Linked DNA regions of Macaca fascicularis. The protein of the gene in region 1 binds, or shares a complex with, the protein of each later gene. Links are inferred from orthologs where the notes say so. Each region holds a gene or a part of one and is shown on either strand. Other genes may lie near its edges. The genes, in order: NFS1 and ISCU.

Region 1 (7,939 bases):
TGTGACTAAACAAGCCTAATTACAGAAATTTTGTGCCAAAATATGAGCATGAGCATGCGAAGTTATTCACCAAGTAATCAGGGCTTCTGAATAGAATTGGCACTTGACAGTTCTTCTCCCACACAGAAAAACTGTTTATGCTGAGAATGGAGGTACTATAAAAATTAAGGCAGTGGTTTCCAAATTTATTATGAAGGACACCAGATTTTAAATAAACTGGGTGCAGTGGGTCATGCCTGTAATCCCAGCACTTTGGGAGACTGAGGCAGGAGAGTTGCTTGAGGTCAGGAATTCAAGCCTGAGTAACATAGTGAAACCTCTATCTCTACAAAAACTGTTTTAAAAATTAGCCACGCATTAGGCCGTGAGCGGGATTACACCTGTAATCCTAGCACTTTGGGAGGCCGAAGGGGGCAGATCACCTGAGGTCAGGAGTTCAAGACCAGCCTAGCCAACATAGTGAAACCCCATGTCTACTAAAAATACAAAACTTAGGCCGGGCACGGTGGCTCACGCCTGTAATCTCAGTACTTTGGGAGGCCGAGGCGGGTGGATCACGAGGTCAGGAGATCGAAACCATCCTGGCTAACACAGTAAAACCCTATCTCTACTAAAAACACATACACACACACAAAAAAATTAGCCGGGCGTGGTGGCAGGCACCTGTAGTCCCAGCCACTTGGGACGCTGAGACAAGAGAATGGCAAGAACCCTGGAGGCAGAGCTTGCAGTGAGCCAAGATGGCGCGACTGTACTCCAGCCTGGGTGACAGAGCGAGACTCCATCTCAAAAATAAAATAATAAAATAAAATAAAATAAATAAAATAAAATAAAATACAAAAATTAGCCAGGTGTGGTGGCAGGCACCTGTAATCCCAGCTACTCAGGAGGCTGAGGCAGGAGAATCGCTTGAACCCGGGAGGCAGAGGTTGCAGTGAGCTGAGATCTCGCCATAGCACTCCACCTGGGGGACAAGAGCAAGACTTCGTCTCAAAAAAAAAAAAAAAAAATTAGCCAGGTGTGGCTGGGCACGGTGGGCCTGTAATCCCAGCTACTCAGGAAGCTGAGGGAGAAGAATCCCTTCAACCCGGGAGGCAGAGGTTGCAGTGAGCCAAGACCACACCACTGCACTTCAGCCTGGGCGTCAGAGTAAGACTTTGTCTCAAAAAAAAAAAAAAGAAAAAGAAAAAAAAATTAGCTAGGGTGTTGGTGCACACCTGTAGTGCTAGTTACTGGTGAGGCTGGGGTAGGAGGGTTGCTTGAGCCCAGGAGATTGAAGCTGCGGCAAGGTAGGATAGCACCACTGCACTCCAGCCTGAGCGACAGAGTGAGACCTTGTCCCTATAAAACAAATGAATAAAATAATGTACTAAACTGTATTTATTAAGAATTATTTCATTTCTCCATTTTAAAAAATTCAAGAATCTTATACTATCTGAGTCTATACAGTTCCCGAATTCAAACAGCAAGTGCTCAAATACCATGTCTGGACAGTGAAGAATACCACATTATCTAAATCTATTTAGATTCTGGGCTTGGAAAGCAGGAGGTCAGATAATGAGGGATACCTGTACACATGTAAGTGTTGATCAGAGCTTCTGATCAATGAGTTCATTGGTGTTTTTTTTTTTTAATTTTTGTGAGTACATAGGAGATATATATATTATGGAGTACATGAGATTTTTTTTTGTTTTTGAGAGGGAGTCTTGCCTGTCACCCAGGCAGTGGCGCGATCTCGGCTCACTGCAACCTCCGGCTCCTGGGTTCAAGCGATTCTCCTGCCTCAGTCTCCTGAGTAGCTGGGATTAAAGGCACACGCCACCACACCCGGCTAATTTTTGTATTTTTAGTAGAGATGAGATTTCACCATGTTGATCAGGCTGGTCTTGAACTCCTGACCTCGTGATCCACCTGCCTTGGCTTCCCAAAGTGCTGGGATTACAGGCGTGAGCCACCGTGCCCAGCCCACGAGATGTTTTAACACAGGCATATAATGTGAAATAGGACATGATGAAGAATAGGGTATCCAGCCTGAGTTCATTGGTTTTTATCAAAAAGACTTATCTACAATAAAAGCCAATAAAAGCAACATTTTATTAAAAGATAGGATTCTTATTGAGCTTTTTGAAATAATAGCTCACAAAAAACACTCTTTACAACCTCTGGGAACCCTCAGAAGCCATCTTCCATACTTCCAGAAGCTATTATACCTACTTCCACAAAGTATACACCCAGATAACACACCCTGCAGGTACAAAAAGGATACCAGCAAAGACATCAACCCAAAAAAGGCCCTCACTTGAGAAAGAGGAGTTATATTTTATATTGATATTTTATGGTTACCTTCACAAAACAGAGGACAACAGTCTATTCCCGAGGGTTAAGGGAAAGAGGCATAACTCAAGCTTGAACACATTCCAACAGGACCATAGGGAACAAATAAGTATCCATGAGAGACTTAACAGGGTAACAGACTATGAAGTATTCTAAGAATAAACGCAAAGATAGCTGGGTGTGGTGGCTCATGCCTATAATCCCAGCACTTTGGGAGGCTGAGACGGGCAGATCACGAGGTCAGGAGATCGAGACCATCCTGGCTAATGCGGTGAAACCCCGTCTCTACTAAAAATACAAAAACAGTAGCTAGGCGGCCGGGCGCGGTGGCTCAAGCCTGTAATCCCAGCACTTTGGGAGGCCGAGGTGGGCGGATCACGACGTCAGGAGATCGAGACCATCCTGGCTAACCCGGTGAAACCCCGTCTCTACTAAAAAATACAAAAAAACTAGCTGGGCGAGGTGGTGGGCGCCTGTAGTCCCAGCTGCTCGGGAGGCTGAGGCAGGAGAATGGCGTGAACCTGGGAGGCGGAGCTTGCAGTTAGCTGAGATCCGGCCACTGCACTCCAGCCTGGGCGACAGAGCAAGACTCCGTCTCAAAAAAAAAAAAAAAAAAAAAAAACAGTAGCTAGGCGTAGTGGTGGGCGCCTGTAGTCCCAGCTACTCGGGAGGCTGAGGCAGGAGAATGGCGTGAACCCAGGAGGGAGCTTGCAGTGAGCCCAGATCATACCACTGCACTCCAGCCTGGTCGACTGAACAAGACTCCGTCTCAAAAAAAAAAAAAAATCATAATCATAATAAACACAAAGAGATGTCAAATCCCATGCAATCTTCCCCTGAGCTATAGCAAGACACTGGGAATGAAGGACTCAAATAGCTGCTCTGCACATCATAGTGGGGAAAACAAGATAGCTGGGCTTATCTAGATAAATTTGATTTGACAAAACCCCTTTCTCCTCAACCAAATTAAGATCTACACGCTTGCTAAGGATTTGTTAAAGTCAGCAAGAAAGAATGGCCTGATGTATAGTAACTGCTAAGGTCTACAAACAGGCAAGTGTTTCTGCCTATTGCTAAATGACATTTGCATTCTACAAGGGACTCTGAATGTACAACTTCCTCTGAGAGCAATAGTAGTCCCAAATGACTCTGACAAACACCTATCAAAGGTCTTGCTGGAAGGTACAGAAAGAACTCTAGAGGGGCTGGTACCTTTGGGACCGTAGATTTTGTGACCACTGATGCTCATGAGATCAATTTTCATGTCATTGACATCAAGTGGGATTTTTCCAACAGCCTGGGCTGCATCAGTATGGAAATACACCTTTCTGGAACTGCAAATCTGCCCTGAGGAAACAGAGGGGAAGACCCACAGCACAATGTTGGAAAGTCATCTGTCACTGTCCCACAGTGCACTGTGAATTATCTCCAACAACAGTAAATGACCTCTATCAATATTAAACTCCTCCCCTCCGTCCTTCCACCCCTTCTCCCTCTTCTTTTCCTTCTCTCCTCCCCCTTCTTCCTTCCTCCCTCTGTCTCTCAGTAGCTTCCCTTCTTTAGAATAAAAAAGATGAAGGGCAAAACACCAGATCAAAACACTCCTGATACTCTCATGCATACGATTCTTACCACCTCATTAACACCAGTCTTTCAAAATGTCAGATTAGTTTCTAGATCCCTTTTGATTAAAAAAAAAAAAAAAAAAAAAAAAAATTAAGAGATCTTTGTGCTAACGTGCCTAAAGAAATTACAGGGTGAGCTCTACGTGGGGATAATAAAAAGATGTTCTAAAATGAAAAAGGGTAGAAGGCTTTTTTGTTTTGTGGTTGGTTTTGGCAGCAACTGCAATAAAATTAAAAACCATAAAAGGTACTAGACCTGGCGGGGCGCAGTGGCTCATGCCTGTAATCCCAGCACTTTGGGACACCAAGGAGGGCAGATCACCTGAGGTTAGGAGTTCAAGACCAGTCTGGCCAACATGGCAAAACCCCATCTCTACTAAAAATACAAAAATTAGCCAGGCATAGTGGTGCACACCTGTAGTCCCACTACTTGAGAGGCTGAGGCGGGAGGATCATTTGAACCCAGGGGGTGGAGGTTGCAGGGAGCTGAGATCACACCACTGCACTCCAGCCTAGGCAACAGAGTGACACTCTGTCTCAATGAAAAAAAAAAAAAATGGTAATAGACCTAGATTCAAATACTGCCTGTGATACTTACAATGTCCTTGAACAAAGCACTTAGGCTCTCTTTCACTTGATTTCCTAACTACACTCCACAGAGTATTACAGCTCTCAGTCTACTACATCATACAGACCGCCATAGTGGGCAGGGATCAGGGATAAGCCATGATACTCACCTATTTCTGCAATGGGCTGCTTCACTCCAATCTCATTGTTCACAGTCATGACTGAGACCAGGCTAGTATCTGGCTGGATAGCAGCCTCTAGTTCCTAGGGATATGCAGGAGTAAGGTGACTAGATAGTGCAAACAAAGTCCTCCTAAATCAGAATATAGGCAAGCTTAGTCATGAAAAGGAGTCTTACACTACATACCTATCTGAATAGTTAACTAAAAACAGTGACAACACAAAATGTTGGTGAGGATGCACAGACTCTGAATGGTTCATACATTGTTAGTGGGAATGTAAATGTCACAACCACTTTGGAAAAGAATTTGACAGTTTCTGTTGCTCATCACACTAAACATGAAATTACCATACAACCCAGTAACTGTACGCATGGGCATTTATCCCAGAGAAATGAAAATTAAATTCACAAAACATCTTACACAAATGTTCACAGTAACTTTATTCATAATAGCAAAAACCTAGAAACTACCCAGATGTCCTTCAACAGATGATTTTGGTACATCCATAACATGGACTACTACTTATCAATCAAAAGGAACAAACTACTGGCACATGCAGCAAGGAATGAATTCCCAAAGACTTATGATTAGTGAAAAAAGCTAATCAAGGCTGGGCAATGGCTCACGCCTGTAATCCCAGCACTTTGGGAGGCTGAGGCGGGTGGATCACCTGAGGTCAGAAGTTCAAGACCAGCCTAGTTAACATGGAGAAACTCCATCTCTACTAAAAATACAAAAATTAGTTGGGCCTGGTGGTGCACACCTGTAGTCCCAGCTACTTCGGAGCCTGAGGCAGGAGAAATGCTTAAACCCAGGAGGTGGAAGTTACAGTAAGCCGAGATTGTACCACTGCAATCCAGCCTGGATGACAGAGCGAGACTTTGCCTCAAAAAAAAAAAAAAAAAGGAAGGCTGGGCACTGTGGCTCATGCCTGTAATCCCAGCACTTTGGGAGGTTGAGGCGGGCAGATCACGAGGTCAGGAGATCGAGACCATCCTGGTTACCACGGTGAAACCCCATCTCTACTAAAAATACAAAAAATTAGCTGGGCATGGTGGTGGGCGCCTGCAATCCCAGCTACTTGAGAGGCTGAGGCAGAAGAATGGTGTGAACCCAGGAGGTGGAGCTTGTAGTGAGCTGCACTCTAGCCTGGGCAAAAGAGCGAGACTCCATCTCAAAAAAAAAAAAAAAAAAAGAAAAAGAAACAAGTCCTCCAGAGAAAAGGAGGACAGTACACACTCAAGGGGAACATGATCTCATTCTCTGCCAGGCCCATTTCTCTAAACTTCATCCTGTTAGATCTATTCCTTCAAGCTCCAGCTAGGGCCCAAAAGAGAAATTTACAAGCTGAAGCCAAGTTCCTCCATTTTTGCTCCTCCTGCCAATAGCCACTCCTACCTTTAGGTCAATGATCCCACTCTTCTGCACTGGGAGGTAGGTGACCTGAAAGCCCTCAGCTTCCAGTGAACGGCAGGAGTCCAAGACACATTTGTGTTCTGTCTGGGTGGTGATCAAGTGCTTTTTCCGTGACCTGTAGAATCGGGCCACCCCCTAGAAATTGGTGGTGATAGATGGAAGGAGAACATACTGAGAGAGACAGCAATGACTTCAACATCATTTGTAAAGGAAAAATGGGCAAGAACAGTATGCTCCAACACCAGTTCTTTCATACCAACTGAGTATCCTATAATTCAATTCTGAGGCTAACTCTGCAGACTTAGTGAAAACCCCATGGATTAAGGGCTCAATCACATAAGACTGCCCCTAGTTCAGATACCAGACATAAGTCCCAGGGGTCTCAAGCTACCCATACTTCTGCCCAGTCAAATACAAATTCAGGGCTTCCCGAAGCCCGCTCAAGTTCAGTAATTCACTAGAATAAATCACATTTGTCCAAACCCACAGAATGTACAACACCAGTGATTCCTAATATAAGCTATGGACTTTGGGTGATAATGATGTATCCATACCAGGTCGTCAATTGGAACAAATGTACCACTTGATGGAAGATGCTAATAATGGCAGAAGGCTGTGCATACCTGGGGGTGGGCATATATAGGAAATTTCTGTACCTTCCTTTCAATTTTGCTGTGAACCTAAAACTGCTATAAAAAATAAAATCTATTAAAATGATAATAGTATACAGATTAATGTAGGTATTTAAAAATCTGGAGAAATATACAGCAAATTAGCAGTGAAAATGTGTTTAGAGTTCTCTATATTATTGGAATTTATGATTCATTCATTCAACCAATATTTAGCACCTCCAGTATCCCAAGTAATTTTCTAGGTGCCAGTGATATAACAGTAAACAAAGTCATGAGTAGTTATTACTGTTAATATCAGAAGAAACAATAAAGGTACATTAAAAAATTTCTGGAATTTCAACTATTACAAGAAATTAAAAAAACCATTTATCTCATTTAAGAAAAAAAAAACAGTGGAGCCTGAGGCAGGAGAAATGCTTAAACCCAGGTGCAGTGCCTCATGCCTGTAATCCCAGCACTTTGGGAGGCCGAGACGGGCGGATCACCTAAGGTCAGGAGATCACCAGTTTGAGACCAGCCTGGCCAACATGTAGAAACCCCATCTCTACTAAAAATAAAAAAATAAGCCAGGCCCAGTGGCACGCACCTATAATCCCAACTCCTCAGGAGGCTGAGGGAGGGGAATCACTTGAAACCAGGAGGCGGAGGTTGCAGTGAGTGAAGAGTGCTATTGCACTCCAGCCTGGGCAACGGAGTGAGACTCCGTCTCAAAAAGAAAAAAAAAAATAGGATGCCAGGTGCAGTGGCTCATGCCTATAATCTCACAACTTTGGGAGGCTGAGGCAGGCAATCAATCACGAGATCAGGAGTTTGAGACCAGCCTGATGAACATGGTGGAACCCCGTCTCTACTAAAAATACAAAAATGGCCGGGTGCAGTGGCTCACACCTGTAAATCCCAGCACTTTGGGAGGCTGAGAAGGGCAGATTACCTGAGGTTGGGAGTTCGAAACCAGCCTGATCAACATGGAGAAACCCTGTCTCTACTTAAAAAAAATACAAAAATTAGCCAGGTGTGGTAGTAAATGTCTGTAATCCCAGATACTCTGGAGTCTGAGGCAGGAGAATCGCTTGTACCCAGGAGTCGGAGGCTGCAGTGAGCCGAGGTTGCGCCATTGTACTTCAGCCTAGGCAACAAGAGTAAAACTCTTTCTCAAAAAATAAATAAATAAATATAAATAAAA
Region 2 (8,039 bases), on another chromosome or scaffold:
TGGCATGATTTTCTTAGGGATGAATGTGAGACCACGGGGGCTCTAACCCTCTGCAGGTTGTAAGGACAGACTCATGAGCTCTAATTCTGAGGGTTATAAACATGGGCTCCATGACCTAAAAGGACTGTTGCAAATGCAAGTTGAAATTACTGCCAAATGTCCGAGCTGACTGGTATGGAGAGCAGAGACTTACTGGAGCAGTGCAGTTTCACGGGAGGCAGGCAGAGCTCCTTGGCGATATCTGTGTTTTTGATAGTCAAGGCTTCCTCCACCTGAGAGGCATAATGGAAAGACGGGCAGTTTTAGCAACGCTTTATCTTGTGAGGGCCAGACAATAAAAAAGGGAGGCCAAAAAGGCCCTCGGGGTTGGTGGGGATAATTTCTGTTTAATAACTCAAAGGGCTGAGGGTCTTCTCAGGATGACTCCCACTCTATCAAAGCTGCAGCTGGGATTCTCAAGCATGAAGTATACACAGCTGCACTGCCTGGCTTGGGTAAGCAAAGACCGCCCAGACACTTCTCTAAGCCAGGAGTGGAACCGGTGAGAAGTCTCTTAGGGATCTGCTTGTGGCCTGTGTCAGGAATCTTTTCCTTAAAAGGTAGTGATTTCCGATACTGGTTTTGTGAATATCAGCTTCTCTGATGTCCTCATACGAAATGTTAGAATAAATCCTTTTGACTAGAAGTGCCACATGGCATCAGAGAGGTTGGGAAGATGTCAGGTAAGTGGCACAGTGGCAGTCGCACAGCCGGGTCAGGCTGAACGCTCTCTCTGGTGTCACCCTTTGCCTATAGGAGCAGCTCTTCCAGATCAACTGAGGAGGACGCCTGGGGTCTGGTTGACAGCCCGGGGGGGATAATGTGAGGCAAACAGATCCTCGCCCATGTGGAACAGTGCCCCACCGCCTTACAGAAAACCAGATTTCCCAACAGCTGGGCTCCTTCGCTATGTCTGACTATCGTTCAATTTCCCAATTCTGCTAACCCTTCTTGGCTGATTCAGGTTCTGCTCCTGAAACTCAGATAGGCGATCTCAAGGTTAAAGAAAATGTTCTCTCTCCCATTTTCTGATCACAATTCACAGTCCCCTAAGAGGCAGGTTCTGGGAGCATAAGTGCCTTGTCTCATTTCTCCCTTCACCTGAGGACAGTTCCTGACAAATCACTTCAGGGCTACCTCCTGCCAGAGCAGGTTAGGTCTGAGCTTCCTGGCCCACAGGAGCTTGCCAGCCAGAAGGCCGTGAGCCACAGGAAGCAGGTGGCACGTGGCCTGGCAAACCGCTCTGCCGTGGAGCTGGCCAGCTCCCAAGCATGCTCCTCCATGACTCAGCTCCCTGCACCTGGTCCCTTGGGGCAGCAAAGATGAGTGCCATGATGGTTGGCTTTTCTGAGAGGTTCTGACAGCAACTGGATTTTAGAAAGTCCAGCTCTTCACTGCTTTTGGGACCTTTGACCTCTGCAGCTACCAGGGAAAGACACTTCGGAGAGAAAGGGATGAAAGAGAAGTTCTAGCTCTTTATTATCTCTGCCTTTAGAGGGCTTGCGATCAACCACCTGGATCACTGTTCTGATTTCGTTGTTCACTTTGCCCCTACCCTTGCTGTGTTTTTGATTCTTTAATCCCTCTTTTAACACAGGCTAGTTTATTTCACCAATCCTTGTAAGCCACCTAGAACCCTTCCTGAAACATGAGAGGAAATAAGCAAGAAAATAACTACCATATAACAACTCTCTGACTTGACAAATTATAAGAGTATTGGTAACCTTAGAGAAAGCCAAAGATTTCTTCTAAATTCTATTTTGTTAGAGGGACAGGTGATGATCTTTTTTGTATGTAATTAACACCCAAACAAACAAACAAAATGATCAACAAGAAAAAAACCCAAACATCATCTAGAATGATCTATAATTCCCAATTTGAAGAATTAATATAATCAACATCTGTATAGCAGAAACTTTAAAAATTCAGAATATTAAAAAAAAGTTATGGTTGTTTTTGACCCATTAGACCCGTCAAGAGACAGGCTTGGGGTGAATGCAATTTCATTCTGTCAGATTTGTGAGCAACCTTACCGTCTTTCCTTTCACCCATTCAGTGGCTAATGAGCTGGAGGCAATTGCAGAACCACAGCCAAATGTTTTAAACCTAGCATCCACAATTTTCCCCTTTTCATCCACTTGAATCTAGAAAAGAGACAAGAGTTAAGTGGTGAGTCCTAGGACCACCCTCTGGAACTTGGCACTCACGAAGGTTCATTGGGGCCTTCCCCAAGGGCTTTGGGCTTGCTTTCCATACTAAGTGATGGTATTAATTACTGATTTTGCCTTGTTTCAGAGAGCTCAGTGATGAAAAGTGAAATGCAGGGACAATTATCCAGGCCCAACTGACAAAGATCAGCTGGAAAATATGTTCCTCCACCCCAATATTATTTTGTTTTGCGACTCTGGCTTGCATTTTGGCTATGAACTTCTATTTGAGGCAGTCTGCTCACAGCTGCTGGGGCAATCTGCCTCTTAAACACTGAGAGAGTACACAATAAAGGTCTCTGGTTAATACTTTTTTCTTGGGCAGCAGATTATACTTAGTGGTTTCCTCCTGTTTTGTTTCTGTATTCCAAGATAGGTATGAAGATCTCTGGCAAGCTGCCCACTCACCATGAAGCAGCAGATTGGCGCTACAACAACAGTTTACCCAAAGCACTAGACACTATCTTCATGTTGCTCCCAATCTGGGGACAGGTTTAATTTACTGTGTTTCTTATCTCATTGGGGACTGCTAGCTCACTGGGATTTTCCTTTGATCAGTAAAATTCACAAAACTCTTTCGTTGGCTGAAGTTGGAATTTAAACTTATACAGTGAGTACAAAAATGAGATTACTTTTCTATTTCGGAAAAAGTCGGCATAGTACACTAGCCTGGCAGGAGAGCTACGATTGAGGCCCTGTTCCAATCACGTCTAACATGGACTCATCCCATCTCACAGGAATAAAGATGGAGACCGAGTGAAATGCTGTATGTGCAAGTGCTTTGTAAACTTAAAGGGATTATTGTTATCACTATTAAAGACTAGCCATACCTGTAATTTCATTACGTCACCACATGCTGGAGCCCCCACCAGTCCAGTTCCAACATTTTTAGATGTCTTGTCAAGGGACCCCACGTTTCTAGGATTTTCATAATGATCAACAACCTAAAATGAGAGGGTTAAGATAAATCGTGTTCACTCTCTATTGGTGCTGGTCTCTGGTATGGTGGCAAGCTCCTGGAAGTCAGCATCTTGAACCTGGCAGGCAATCACCAAATTTCACCTGAGTAGAAAGGTCTACACTCATGTCAGTGAGAACCATTTGTGACCCCCAATTCCTTTTGTGTCTCCTCTACAACTACTTCACAGATTAGCGACACCTAGAAGAAAAAAATATCAGTGAAATCATGTCTTAATTCCATAGGGTTTTTACAAAAATACTTGACTTTTACCCACCTACATCACCAGACTTGGGCTCAAACAGCAGTTTTGTTATTTTCAAATAAAAACTATCCTCAAAGGATGATTACTATTTAAAAATTCTAAAAATAACTATGGCCCAGGAAGGGAAAACTTTTAGAAGCCTTAAGGTGACTGTTACACAGAGAACAATGCTATGGAATGTGTACGTTTATGTGTCTTTCAAAATAAAAACAGTGCCATTACCGTATTTCAGAGCCTGTCATCACCCTGGTGCAGCAGCGCACCCTGGCTGCTGAAAGGCTGCTAGTCCAAGTTTCCTCGGGGTGTACCCTCAACGAAACACACCGCCGGGAGGGGGAGGAGTGAAGAAGCCCTTGGAGAAAGGGCAGAGGCCAGATCAGAATCAACATCCATTCGAACTGGCACACAGAAGGCCTTAATGTGGTTACTGGTTAGTAGTAAGCACCCCGATCTTCCAGTCCCCTTTTCCTCCCCATCTGACTAAGGATTTTGACTCCAAGTAAAGGCCCCTATAGGATAGTATCTAACGGAGGGACTTTTTGTGCCACGTTGATTTATGGCATTCTTTGTTTCTAGAGTGGGAGTCTCACGTCTGGGGGACTTTGCGTCACCAGACAGCAAGGGGCTGCAAACTATGCATCTATCCCTCCTTCCCCGCCAAAAAAAAACCCCCAAAACAAAACAAAAACACTACGCATGTTGGTTACAAGCCTGACTCCCCTATGCACTCCTAAAGCAGTAACAGAAACGGTCTCCTCGTGCTGGGGCCTATGTGCCAGGAACCATGACAGGACTCCATGCACAGTATCCTTTGTAAGAGACAGCTGAGAGTCCTCATTTACACCTGGGGAAACAAGTTCAGAGAGGCGCAGTGACTAGCGCAAGGTCATCTAGCCAGGGCAGCAGCGTGGCTGAAGCCGGAGCCCGCTCCGGGGGTGTGTCTGTCCCTGGACTCTAAAAGACAAGTCCCAACAGGACCCTGCCTCCTGGGCTGTTGGCGAATTTAAAGTTGGGACGCACGAAGTCGCGGCCAGCGGCGGGGCCCCCTGGAAGTCGCAGCCCGATGAGCGGTAACTGTTGTTTATCAGTTGCAGTGAGCCTCACTGCGCAGCAAGGGAAAGTGAGTCAGGGCAAAGACGTGGGAGGCGACAGCTAGTCCTGGCTGCGTAGAACCCCGCGGCCGCCGCTCCAGCCCAGGCCTCCCCCGAGTCGGCATTCCGCGTGTCCCCTCGTTTGTCCCTACCTTCTTGTGATAGAGTCGGGCCGGGGCCGATAGCTCCCGGGCGGGCAGGCGGGGGCTCCGGAGCAGCAGAGCCGACGCTGCCCGCCTCAGACGGCCAGCTCCAGCTGCCGCCATCTTGCCGGCTTGCGCCTGCGCCAGTCCAGAGCGATGCCGAGGGGCGGGGCGCGTCTGCGAGTCGGCGCCGAGCTGGGAGCGCGCCTCTCTGGCGTCACCGAGGCTTTGCGCCTGCGCCTTACCGTTCCGTGCAAGCCTCCGCCCTGTGGCCCCGCCTTGACCACGCCTCTCGGGGGCGGGCGGGGTCGGGAGCGGGAAGGTCTGAAGTCGCTAGAGGGCTTGTCCTGGGTGCTGGATTCTGGTTGAGAGAGGATCTCAGGCTTCTGCAGTGTGGGAATGCGGCGCAGAGGACCACTGAGTCCACTTTTCCTAACCCTATTTTGCAGCTAAGGAAGCTGAGATTCAGGGCAGTTTGGTCACTCCGTCCAAGGTCGCTTAGGGCTTAGGTTCAACTAGAATTCGAACTTGGGTAGTCCTGGGTTAGAATCCTGGTTCGGTTCCTTCCTGGCTGTGTGTCCCTAGACAAATGGTACCGGCTTGCTAAGTCTGAATCTTCCTTTTTGTATTAATTCGAGGACAATTCCTTCATCATGAAGCCAGCATCTGTGTTGAGTACCTACTATGTGTCAAGGCACTCTACTAGACCCGGGGATCCAACAGAAAGCAAAACAGACGTAATTCCTGCCCATTAAGCTTGCTAATGAGGGAGCAAGGTAGAGATAGAGACACACTCCAGTACTTGCCTACCTCAACAATGGGAAGCTTAAGAAGGAAACGAACACCATGTCCTGATTGAAAAAAAATGAGTATATGTCTATTTTTCTCTCTGAAACAACAGCAAATTCAATTTATATGTCGGTGCCTAGCAATTAAGAATTTCTAAAGAAATGCGTATTTACTGTTGGTTTGCAGTATGTGAGCTTATAAAACCGGAAAACTCAAGTGTATTTAACGCCTCCTAGGTACCAGATGTTTACATAAAGGGGAAGAATTTCTTTGGGAAATGGATTTTTCTCTTGAATGGTGAAATCGATCCTTCCCCGAGGACCTGCAGTTTTCTTTGCGTTTGAGGTGCAGTTGCTGGGGAGACTAAACCCAAGCGCCAGGTCACACTAGGCGATAAGTAAGGTATTTTTTCTAAGAATCACTTTGACCTTCTCAAGATGGCGCCAAATTCTTTACTACAGACACCACGCTCGCTTCATGACTTCCTCTATGGCCTCCACTTCCTGCCCAAAGACCCAACTTCTGTCCGAAGTTGTGACGGAACGTATGCCATGATAATGAGTTTTTTCTCTGGTGGGAGTTTTTACAGGGGTATAAAATAAAATGAATTTAGTGTATTTGGAGATTTTCTCGTTATCTAAGGTTCCCAGTTTCCCTTTCAGTGTCAAGAAAACGGGCTTTTGATAAGGCGCGCGCCGCGGGCAGCTTCTGCCTCAGCGGGTCTTCGGCGGCCGCGGGAAGACCCGAGAGTCATTAGAAGCGCAAGATGGCGACTGCGGCCGCAACCTCGGCTTCAGAACCCGAGGCTGAGTCCAAGGCTGGGCCCAAGGCTGACGGAGAGGAGGATGAGGTTAAGGCGGCGAGGACAAGAAGGAAGGTGTTATCGCGGGCTGTGGCCGCTGCGACATACAAGACCGTGGGGCCAGGGTGGGATCAGCAGGAGGAAGGCGTGAGCGAGAGCGATGGGGATGAGTACGCCATGGCTTCCTCCGCGGAGAGCTCCCCCGGGGAGTACGAGTGGGAATATGACGAAGAGGAGGAGAAGAACCAGCTGGAGATTGAGAGACTGGAGGAGCAGGTGGGCCCGGGGGTGGGCAGCGGGCACCTTCCAGTCTTTCAGGTCCTCAGGTCCCCGTGTCCTGGCCCGCCTCCCTAGTCCTCGGCGGCCATAAAGCCGCCAAGGCTGCAAACCCCTTTTTCATGACCGTAGCTCCTGTCATTTGAGTGCTTACTGCGTGCCCGGTGCTTTGCAAATGTTATCCCATTGAATCCTCACCACCCTGTGAAGGAAGCCCTGTTATCTATCCCCATTTTACTGGAGGAAACTGAGGTTCGTGGAGGAAAGTCTCTTGCTCAAGATAATACTTCCTGCAAGTCAGGCCTCGTACTTTGATCCCATTCCAGAACTCCCCCTCGTAGCCACACGTCCAACAGTAGAAATACACTCATTCATAAGAGACTGTTACTTTGTTGTGTAGGAATGACGGCGGTGATGAAACTTGTGGTAGGAAAAATATTGACCGCGATGGTGATAATAGAAATGGAAAGGTTTGCTGGTTCTGGAGGTTAAGGCCTCAGTTCTAGCTGTTCCACCCTTGTATGTCCTTGTGAGAATTTCTTAATTTCTCTGATCCTCTCGGCTTCCTCATCTGCAGATTGGGAGCAACAATGTCTGCATAATATAATTGTTGTAACAGTATCTATAGCCCAGTGCCTAGCATCTAGTCATAACATGGTCTCTCGTTTGTAACCTTACGAGGTGGTGATATCTACTGTATAATCCAGGATCTCAGCAGGAAATAGGTGGCACATTTAGATTAGGATGATCTGAGAGAAAGTAAGGGTGTGGGTATGGGAAATCAGGAGTGAAGGTTTAGTATCCCATGGCTAGTAACTCCTGAACCTGGTGTCCATCTTTGGGCCTGAAGGGGTGAAGGGAATGATCTGAGTTGTGTGGAGAGGGCACCTGAGACCTGCTGATAACTTTGTTCAAGGGATGCAGCTCCAGTTTCCTGTCAAGGATTGGGGTGGGGGAAGAAATACCTTGACCTCCCTTTCTTCCTTCCACCAAACTTCTCCTGCTGGTGCCTTCTGCTGGGCAGACCCATCTGGAAGCTGAAGAGCCAGAAAACCTGTATATGGGGTCTATACTCGGGGACACAGGGCAGGGAGGAGAGGGTAGGGTGTGTTTGGAGGGGGCAAACAGAAGAGATGGAGCACATTCTCTCTCTTTTTTTTTTTTTGAGACAAGAGTCTCGCCCCGTCACCCAGGCTGGAGTGCAGTGGCACCATCTCGTCTCACTGCAAACTCTGCCTCCCTGGTTGAAGCGATTCTTCTGCCTCAGCCTTCCCAGTAGCTGGGATCCAGGCATGCCCCATTGCGCCCGGCTAATTTCTGTATTTTTAGTAGAGATGGGGTTTCACCATGTTGGCCGGGCTTCTCTTGAATTCCTGACCTCAGGGGATCCACGCACCTTGGCCTCCCATAGTGCTGGGGTTACAGGCCTGAGCCACTACGCCCGGCCCACATTCTCTTTTTACAGATGA

Evidence for each region.
Region 2: the proteins of NFS1 (region 1) and ISCU are in contact, whole or in part, in a crystal structure (PDB 6W1D), measured with the Homo sapiens proteins. The link is inferred for Macaca fascicularis from reciprocal best matches to the Homo sapiens genes NFS1 and ISCU. Residues at the interface, in NP_066923.3 of Homo sapiens: Tyr360, Val361, Glu362, Glu364, Ser365, Leu367, Met368, Ala369, Lys371, Glu399, Asp400, His403, Ser404, His429, Arg432, Leu433, Glu435, Met436, Ser437, Pro438, Leu439, Glu441, Met442, Trp454, Thr455; in NP_998760.1 of Homo sapiens: Tyr35, Val40, His42, Tyr43, Glu44, Val49, Gly50, Ser51, Leu63, Val64, Gly65, Ala66, Pro67, Ala68, Cys69, Gly70, Val72, Lys74, Phe90, Lys91, Thr92, Phe93, Gly94, Cys95, Gly96, Ile99, Lys135.

Annotation. Positions count from the first base shown.
Region 1 is NC_088384.1:91,745,582-91,753,520, forward strand, and holds part of NFS1 (cysteine desulfurase), read right to left. Parts: intron 6,260-7,939; coding exon 6,107-6,259; intron 4,791-6,106; coding exon 4,697-4,790; intron 3,682-4,696; coding exon 3,547-3,681; intron 1,342-3,546; exon of another isoform or gene 1,218-1,341; intron 1-1,217.
Region 2 is NC_088385.1:115,393,460-115,401,498, reverse strand, and holds the start of ISCU (iron-sulfur cluster assembly enzyme ISCU), read right to left. Parts: upstream 4,854-8,039; 5' UTR 4,827-4,853; coding exon 4,713-4,826; intron 3,822-4,712; exon of another isoform or gene 3,191-3,821; coding exon 3,077-3,190; intron 2,184-3,076; coding exon 2,073-2,183; intron 273-2,072; coding exon 194-272; exon of another isoform or gene 1-193. Other genes in the region: SART3 (squamous cell carcinoma antigen recognized by T-cells 3), read left to right, coding at 6,259-6,570.